Tribolium castaneum: one gene and its partner. Each later gene encodes a partner of the first gene's protein in a complex. Links are inferred from orthologs where the notes say so. Each region holds a gene or a part of one and is shown on either strand. Other genes may lie near its edges.

Region 1 (4,533 bases):
TTCCAAATGCATATTGTGGCTTGATTACAAGTTTTGAAGTTTCGCCCTTTTTGAATTTTTCAATGGCAATGTCAATACCGGAAATAACATTCTGTTCTGAGGCTTCCCCAACCGTAAACGTGACATCACGAACATCAAATTCCTTGTTTTCGTATTTACCAATCAAATGCACTAAAATTGTGGCAATCAGAAAAATTGAATCCAAGTAAACTATATATTTACCTTCAACGGTGGCCCCATCGTTGGGGTACGTGTACCCTTCACCCGCCTTAATTTGGGCCCTTTCAATGCCCCCGTCTTTCTTGGGGCTCAAATCCTCACATTTCCAGCTAATTACTTCAACCTAAACAAAACAGTTAACTCAAGCTTGTTAAAAAATTAATACCCACGTCAAATCTCAGCGTGGCGTCTGGTGGAATAGTTGGAGGACTGCCAGACTTGCCGTAGGCGTATTCGGGGGCACATGTGAGCATAGCTTGCTCCCCCTTTTTCATAGTGGCCACACCGATATCCCATGCTTTAATCACACTCCCTGTGTGCAAAATAATCATTTAACTTTGGTTTATTTAAACACGAACCGTACCTTTGCCCAAATCAAACTCGAAAGGCTCATTCCGGTCTCTACTAGAGTCGAATTTTGTGCCATCAGTTAGAGTTCCAGTGTAGTGAACTCTGACTTTGGATCCAGGTGGAGGGCATTCGTCACTTGTACCCTCCCGAAGGATTTCCTTGAGGACTCCCTTGTCTTGATTTGGGGAAATATCAATAGGTTCAGGCATGGTTATGGTGGAATATTCTAGAGCCGGCTCTGTAATAATAACATGGAGGAAGTATAGAGAAGTTGATGGTATTTTGTGCCCACAAGTCAAAATAAACACATTTTGTTCCTACTCACTTTAAACAAAATGTACTTTTTTGTAAGTTGGGTTTTTATTCAAAAATTAATCGGAAAAAGCACAAACACACCTTTCAAATTAATGGTTCGAACTGAGACGAAGACGAAACGACAAGAAACGATCACCGTCGTGACTTTTTTGTTTACAGCACGTAACCGTAGACGCAACGTGGGTTTTAAATTATTTGGCGCAAATTGAATTAATTAATGAAACCCAAAAACCATTTGCGTGTTTACTAAACAAAACATTTTTATAATCTAGAAAAAAGTAAATCAGACAAACTAAAAGTTAACAACACTTTCAGGACTCAATAATAATTAATAATAACGCAATAAAAAATAATCTCTTATTCTCTTATCAATCAGTTATCACATAGAAGCTGTGCTTAATTGTAATAAAACAGCTGGGATACCTTGCCTTGGAAAGTAATTTTGAATTGTTATCTTATAATTAAAAATTGCCAAAAAAATAATTGCGTCAATAATTAAAAAACAATGATCATTTAAGTCTAAAGCAAAAACAGTGCCGAAAGAAGTTAAGACTGTGTTTAGATATACAATCAAAAAACAAAAACGCTTTCATTCAATTATTTTAATGAGTTTATTGAAAATTCTTGCAATGTTTTTTTGAAAATAGTAGAATGTGTGTTTTCGAATAAAATGTTGAGCGCATTAGCGTTGGGTTGGCGACTTGTTCCTAATTAATTTTTGTTTAAAAAAATGTGGTTCAAAACAAATTTGAAATGTAGGGTTTTTTGCGTTTTGCTATTGTTTGACAATTGAGCACATGCGCGTTAACCTACAATTTTGCTTCAGCCATTTATGTTGATAGCATATTATCAAGTGTAAAACGTTATAATCAGGTAACAGCCAGTTTATCGAGTAAAGAAATGCAAAAATACCGACAACGGATGTAACTTTGATTAAAGAAAGTAGCTTTTTTCGGGGCAAATCCTTGCATAAACCCGACAATGTTGTCACTTTCAAGTGCCAGCTAGACCTAGCCTGGGGCTTTTGTGTCGAGTTCATGCTTTCCAGATACAGTTATAAATTCGCTGGGTTTCGAAGTTTGAGCCCACATCTTCAGCGACATTGATTAGCGGTGATCTGGTATTTTGCTATAAATAGTCACCTCCATTTTAGTCTAAAATATGGCTTATTCAGTTATGAAATCTCCGTTCTGTTGCAGTATGACCGATTCCTCAATGAATTTTGGTCCGGCGTGGATCCGCAACCTTCGATCGGAAGGCACCACCGGGGGCGGAGGCCCGAGTGGTGGCTCGCGGTATCAGTTGGCAGAGTATAGGTGAGTAAAAAATTTCGAAAAACCCTCACTTCATGTCCTCTCAAGATACGGCAGAGAAGAAATGCTCGCACTGTTTGAGCGCAATGCAAAGCCCCCCGCGTCCCTCCTCACTTTTAAAACGCTATATTCGGAACAAACAATGGTCCCCCTGGCCCTCCTCCCAACCACCGAGGAGGAGCAGAGGGGCTGGCAGAGCCGCCCCACGAGCATCAGTGGGGCACCGCGGGGCAGAGGCAGCTCGCTAGAGCGCGGGGGGCGCGTTAGCAGAGGCAGAGGGGGTTATCAGGGCTACGGCCGCGCGGCTTCGTCATACGACAGCGGATGGGGCAACGGGGAACAGCCCGACTGGAGCCCCCGCAAAGAATTCGCCTCCAGGTCGGCGCTTATCGATAATTGGCGCCGAGTCAGGAATAACAATGAAGAGGATGATGGCTGGCGCAATATCAGCTCTGGTAGGGCTTTGCATGAAAAATGGGGCCGCTCGGCGAGCTGGCGAGGGGAGGGGGACTCGGAGGAAAGGAATGGGCCTCCCGAAAGGGGGGCTCGGGCCAATTGGCATGAGAATAACAGGGGGGCTCCGTTACGGAGGTCTTGGGACAACGAGGACCATCTGCCGGAGTGGGCCACGGAAAACCCCACGGAAGGCGGGGGCACGTTTGATGAAAGAGGGGCGTTTCACGGGTCAGACGATGAACAGGTCAGTTTCCAATCCAAGTGCTTATAAATTAAGTTGGCAATACTTAAGAAAATAGATTTCAATGTTGCCAAATTTATTTCAAATTTTCATTTATAAATGTTTGTTTTTTTCGATTAGGATGGCAAAAGGGATAAGAGGGATATGTTGCAAAAGTCCACCTCACAACAACATATTCCGAATCGGGGTAATCCCCCGTCGTTATCCTCTTCCAAATCTACCACGTCGCTCTCGAGGTCGGAGGACAGTGATAAGTATAAAGAGGTGTGTTTTTTTTTTGTTTTTGTTAAAAAATTACGAACTAATTTTTTATTTAGAAGACAGTTTATGTGTTTAAAATAAACATAAATATTTTTAAAATATCTATAAAATTTTGATTGAGTTTTAGTTTTTTTAAGAAATTGTTCTGCAAAAGTGCAGTGCAAAGGAATCAGTTAAATTTCTAATCAGTGTTCTTTTTTGATTTGAATTGGCTACACTGTAAAATGTACAGGTGGAAGATTTGAAAGTCTGGATCATTACTATAAACTTTATGAAAAAGATTATATAATTGAAAATGTTGTTTTATAAAGATGTACTATGTGTAAATTATGTTTTTATTCCAAAACCACGGCCGATACAAAAATTTTATAAGGTACAAAAATTGTTCCGAAATAATAGGTTTTTTGAAAAAAAAAAGAGAAATAGACTATTCAGATAATGTATAACAAGAATATATCATAGGTAAATACTTTACAATAAGAAAAAAAAAACAAAAAAAATAGGACCGAAACATGTGGTTTTGATGACAAATTATTAGTTCAAATTTCATCAAAACTGCTTATTCTACAGACTGATCCAGAAATACTGAGTCTGTTGGCAACACTGGACTTAAATACTTAAATTTTTAAGGATACCAATGAAGTAGGCTTCCAGTTAACAACAGTTTAACATTTTTGTGGGGTTGTACGTTAAATAATTGTCAAGAAAAATCGAATTCGGTTGCAATGTTGCAAATTAAGAGCACAAATACTTTCAAATGTGTTGTTACTCAGTATTTTTGGATCAGTCTGTATTTTGAAGTTACTAATAAAAATCTATAATAATTTTTCAACTTTGACGCCCTCTAACTTTTAAACAGTACAACTTGGTAAGTTAGTTTAGATTGCTCTATTTTGAGCTGTGGGAAGTCTTTGGTTCTCTGTTGTCCCCATCTTTTCGTTACACCCTGTATTTAATAGAACAATAGTATTCTTTTATTTATATGTATTGTGCCTTTTCCTTGTTTGTAATTTGATTTTTATCTCACCGATACCTTGGATTACTTCATTAATTATATTGGAATTTTTTAAAAATTAATTTTAATGCTTTTTTTTACTTGTCAAATTTATAATTACTTATTTAGAAGAAAATTGAAAGAGGACTACTGAATGTACAGCAATTTCATTTCCTTTGCGTCCACGTCCTAGCGTAATTTGAATTAATTCATTAGTGTTTGAACAATTTTGCTCATTTAAAGAGCGACTTACACCGCCGAAATTTTAAAAGTTTACACTAGAGAGTGTACGTTCAGGAACTGCACGGCTTTTATTTAAAACTTTTCTTAAGTTTTGAGTGTTTGTTTTTTTTTGCTAACGTTTTTGAAATAATTTCTAGATA
Region 2 (3,823 bases), on another chromosome or scaffold:
ATTTTGTGCTAACGAGTCGGTCACTGTTTAATAATTAGTTTGTATTCATCGCAACAATTTTTATTGTTGTTTAAAATTGTTTAAATTGTCCGTTTCTATCACAACGAAAATAGTTCTTCTCTATTATTTTTATACACATAGGCGGGTACACGTTTCAGTATGTTATCTTTTTCCAAATTTTAAGTAAATTTGCGATATTTTTTTTAAATTACAAATTACAAAGATATTTTATTTGTTGAGCTCTGTTACCTTTTCAAATTAAGTATTTCTTAAATATTTCTGATACAACTTGTAGTTTGTCAGTTGATAACAAAGAGAAGAGTAGTTTTTGTACTCATCTGCAAATGTCGCAAACTAGTCCTAATACCAAATAAACACAACGTTACAATACATTCATATACCAACCTGTCCTACCAGTCGCAACGCCTGGCTATACCCCTGTGAGCCCTGCACCTGTGACGGCCTCTTTGAGAACCACAAACAGTACGGATGTTGTAATCGATGTTCACCGGGAGGATACTCAATAGCCCCTAAGTCACTGATGTAGGGCCCCACTTCGTCGTCACCACTGCCACTGTCCGAGTTTTCCGCGTGGTGTTTCAAGCTGGCCACCAAACAAAATAAACATCGAACAATGAATGAAACAAACACTTACGGTTCGTATTTGTTTGACATGGTGCCGGCTGTAGGGGGGTTATTTACGTTATATACCATCAAATTAATTATCACAGAACTTTTCTATAGCTTTAAATCACTTTTTTCAAAGCTGGAGTCGTATAAGTAACTGACACTTTTTGTTAACCTTGTTTGGCAGGGGTGCCACTTTTTCTTTGACGTTTCATAAATGTTGAGAGGATTTAAAGTGACGAACTTGAACAACACGGAAATCAATTACGTGTGAAATGTTCGGCAAAAATTTGAATTACACAGTTTACCAATAAAGGGCACGAAAACATAAATTTTATTTAACTGTATGGCGTGGTTAGGTTGGTGGTTTGAATACACTAAACAGAAATTCAGCGCTAAATTTAAAATTAAAACAACCATCGTTTGCACTAGAGGATTTTGGCCTCTATTTTTAAAGTAAGTTTATTTAAAAAATAAAAATACCAAGATTTTTTAATCTGTTTTTAAGTTTTGCACTACAGGGTCGCGAATGGAGTTGGGTTATTGATTTGTTATTATATTTTTATGCAACCAATAATACTAAATCCAGCTGTTCAAATCAGGAGTAAATTAGAAAATTACAAAATTAATCCACAATTGAGCATTTCTCAACTTTGTCTTGACATTTTCGTCAAATTAATTTGTGGGTAATTTAAGTTTAGTTTACGTAATTCTAACAATTCCGAAATAATTTCTTTAATTTTTTAAAAACTCGAAGAAATTTTAATTTCTTGTAATACGTACCAGATAATTGCAAAAAGATTTCTATTATAAATTTTTTTAACAATTACAAAAAGAATTACACTTATTCAGAAAAAAAATCAATAATTCAAGTAAGAAAATTCGAAAAAATATTACCGTAATTCCGGTAATAAAATAAAACATACAATGTACGTTTCTAATTCTAACTTACTCCCAATAATTCCAAATTAATTTATTGATTAATTAATTTTAATTCCGATAGTTCTAGGACATTCTACGTAAATTTCATTGCATACACATTATCCCGAATAATTATTTCCTGTAATTCTAAACTAATTCCAATAAAAAAAAATTATCGTTATTTATTATTTGCAAGGAGAAATATTTCCAATAATTTCAGAAAAGATTTTAGTACTAGTACCTAATTTAAAAAGAATTTAAAAAATAATTCTAGAAAGTTTGAATAATAAAAATTAATTGTAAATTATGGTGTTTCTAGACTGTAGATTCTTTCTAGTAATTCCAACTTAATTCCTGTAATTCCTACTTAAGTTTTGTAATTTCTTTAATGTTAATTGAATTTACTATAATTATAGTCTAGAACTATGCTAAGAAATTTTACGTAATTTCATTACGTACAATTACAATAATTTTAAAAGAATTTCAAATTCAAATATTTTCTGTAACTCCCATAAAGTCCAAAAATAATTTTAATAATGTCAAATACAAACTGCTAAATCATATTAAGCAAATCCGAATGAGTTTCAATTTGTTTGAAGCTAAAAGCAATAACATTGTTAAAATAAATCAAAAATTCATCGTGAATAAATTATAAATTGTAGGAGTAAATTAATAGTTATTTATTTAATGAGTTTGAGTGTAAATCGGACGCTTTAAACCACGAGTGAAAACGAGTGGTTTATCATCCACGAGGCGAAATGAACTGATTTACACAAAAACGAGTTGAATACAACATTTTATTCTTTTAATTACACTCAGCAAGGCTTAGAATTGCTTTAAATTTGTTAAAAATAATCTGACGTTTCGTACTGAGAAATGCCAAACAGTTGTCAAAACTTCCTTACACAGGAGAAAAACCGTAAATTTTGACAGTGTCGAAGAATAAATATTATTAACATTAGTTTAAGAGTCGTGTTTTTTTTTTAATATTTATTTCCAATACGCGTTTACAACAATATTTGCAACAAAAAAATTCCGATTACCTTGTTGTTTTAGGAAATATTTGACTTTTACTTGAAACACGGAAATAATGTACAGAGTGTGCCAAGACGCAAAAAGTTGAATAACACTTTTTTTTATTATTAAACACCATATATTTTTTTACATGTGTCGATAGCATTTTTTTATAAGCTTCCTATTAATATGCGGTTTCTATAGCAAATTTACAATATTTCTTAAAGTGTTTAAAAATATTTTTTAGTTATTTTATTAATAATTCTTGATGAGTGAAATTCATTTATGTATTAGGTAATAATTAGATTACTAATGTAATAAGTCACATTAGTACATAACAAAAATTTAATTACTATTTGACTATCAGATTCTAGACTAACAAATTTTATTATAATAAAATATACTTTATTTAAAAATCTTGAAAAATATTTTAAATTTTTTATGCAAATTCTATATCATTAGAAAGCTTAGCAAAAATGCTATCGATACATAAAAAAATCATGGTGTTCCATTTGAAAAAAATGAGTTATTCAACTTTTTGCGTTTTGTCACACCCTCTGTATTATCTGCGTGTTTTAAGTAAATGTCGACTGTTTGCTAAGACTACAAGGTATTCTAAGTTTTTCTGATAAAAAATTATCGGAAAATATTCATAAGCGACTTCGCAGTGATTTTTCAAATTTTTTTAAAACGAAAAGTTGAATAATTCCAAAACGAAAAGAGATAGACATATTATAGTTTATATAAAGCTATATTATTTTTTGCATAAAAATTTGCATAAAAATGGTGTTCCATTAAAAGAAAATATAACTTGGGTTTAACACTCTGTATACAATACCCTGTGTATAATAAAATATTTTTAGTTTGTGGACTTTAGGACGATGTATTGGATAATAAAAACAGAATAGCAATATTTCTATTACCAATAACTTATAGACCGAATACACACTCCTGGGTCAACCTGTATCTCTAAATTACTTTTTAAATTGGTTTGAAGATTGCTATTTAAAAAAGGCTGTTAGACCTTGTTTTACACTTGTTAAAATCATAATGGTATAAAAGCGGCACAGTTTTATATTTTTTATAAATTTTTAAAATGTGAGGTGTAAACCCGATTTTTTTTGGTTTTTATTTTTTTGATTGTAATCCCTGAACCGATTTGAAAAAAATAGGAAAATGTAAGAAAAGGATATTCTAATTAGCATAAAAAACAAAAGCATGCCATTAAAATAATATTATTATAACGTCATACTTTTTTGGA

Evidence for each region.
Region 2: the proteins of Gyf (region 1) and eIF4EHP are in contact, whole or in part, in a crystal structure (PDB 5NVM), measured with the Homo sapiens proteins. The link is inferred for Tribolium castaneum from reciprocal best matches to the Homo sapiens genes GIGYF2 and EIF4E2. Residues at the interface, in NP_001096616.1 of Homo sapiens: Leu38, Ala39, Asp40, Tyr41, Arg42, Tyr43, Gly44, Arg45, Met48, Leu49, Leu51, Phe52, Leu53, Asn56, Lys57, Ile58, Pro59, Asp61, Leu62, Asp64, Glu66, Phe67, Pro69, Ile70, Leu71, Gln72; in NP_004837.1 of Homo sapiens: His54, Pro55, Leu56, Gln57, Tyr64, Arg66, Asn81, Lys83, Gln84, Ile85, Gly86, Thr87, Val91, Glu92, Phe94, Trp95, Arg96, Phe97, Ser99, His100, Met101, Val102, Leu107, Phe113, Glu149, Asn150, Leu153, Leu156, Gly157, Glu158.

Annotation. Positions count from the first base shown.
Region 1 is NC_087402.1:10,002,276-10,006,808, reverse strand, and holds the start of Gyf (GIGYF family protein Gyf), read left to right. Parts: upstream 1-1,647; 5' UTR 1,648-1,758; intron 1,759-2,084; 5' UTR 2,085-2,085; coding exon 2,086-2,201; intron 2,202-2,246; coding exon 2,247-2,898; intron 2,899-3,015; coding exon 3,016-3,159; intron 3,160-4,533. Other genes in the region: Fkbp59 (FK506-binding protein 59), read right to left, coding at 1-171, 223-343, 390-532, 584-779. UniProt on the Homo sapiens protein: Key component of the 4EHP-GYF2 complex, a multiprotein complex that acts as a repressor of translation initiation. In the 4EHP-GYF2 complex, acts as a factor that bridges EIF4E2 to ZFP36/TTP, linking translation repression with mRNA decay.
Region 2 is NC_087400.1:16,080,642-16,084,464, forward strand, and holds part of eIF4EHP (eukaryotic initiation factor 4E), read right to left. Parts: exon of another isoform or gene 3,388-3,823; intron 2,418-3,387; coding exon 2,410-2,417; intron 1,004-2,409; exon of another isoform or gene 715-1,003; coding exon of another isoform or gene 656-714; intron 605-655; coding exon 406-604; intron 1-405. UniProt on the Homo sapiens protein: Recognizes and binds the 7-methylguanosine-containing mRNA cap during an early step in the initiation. Acts as a repressor of translation initiation.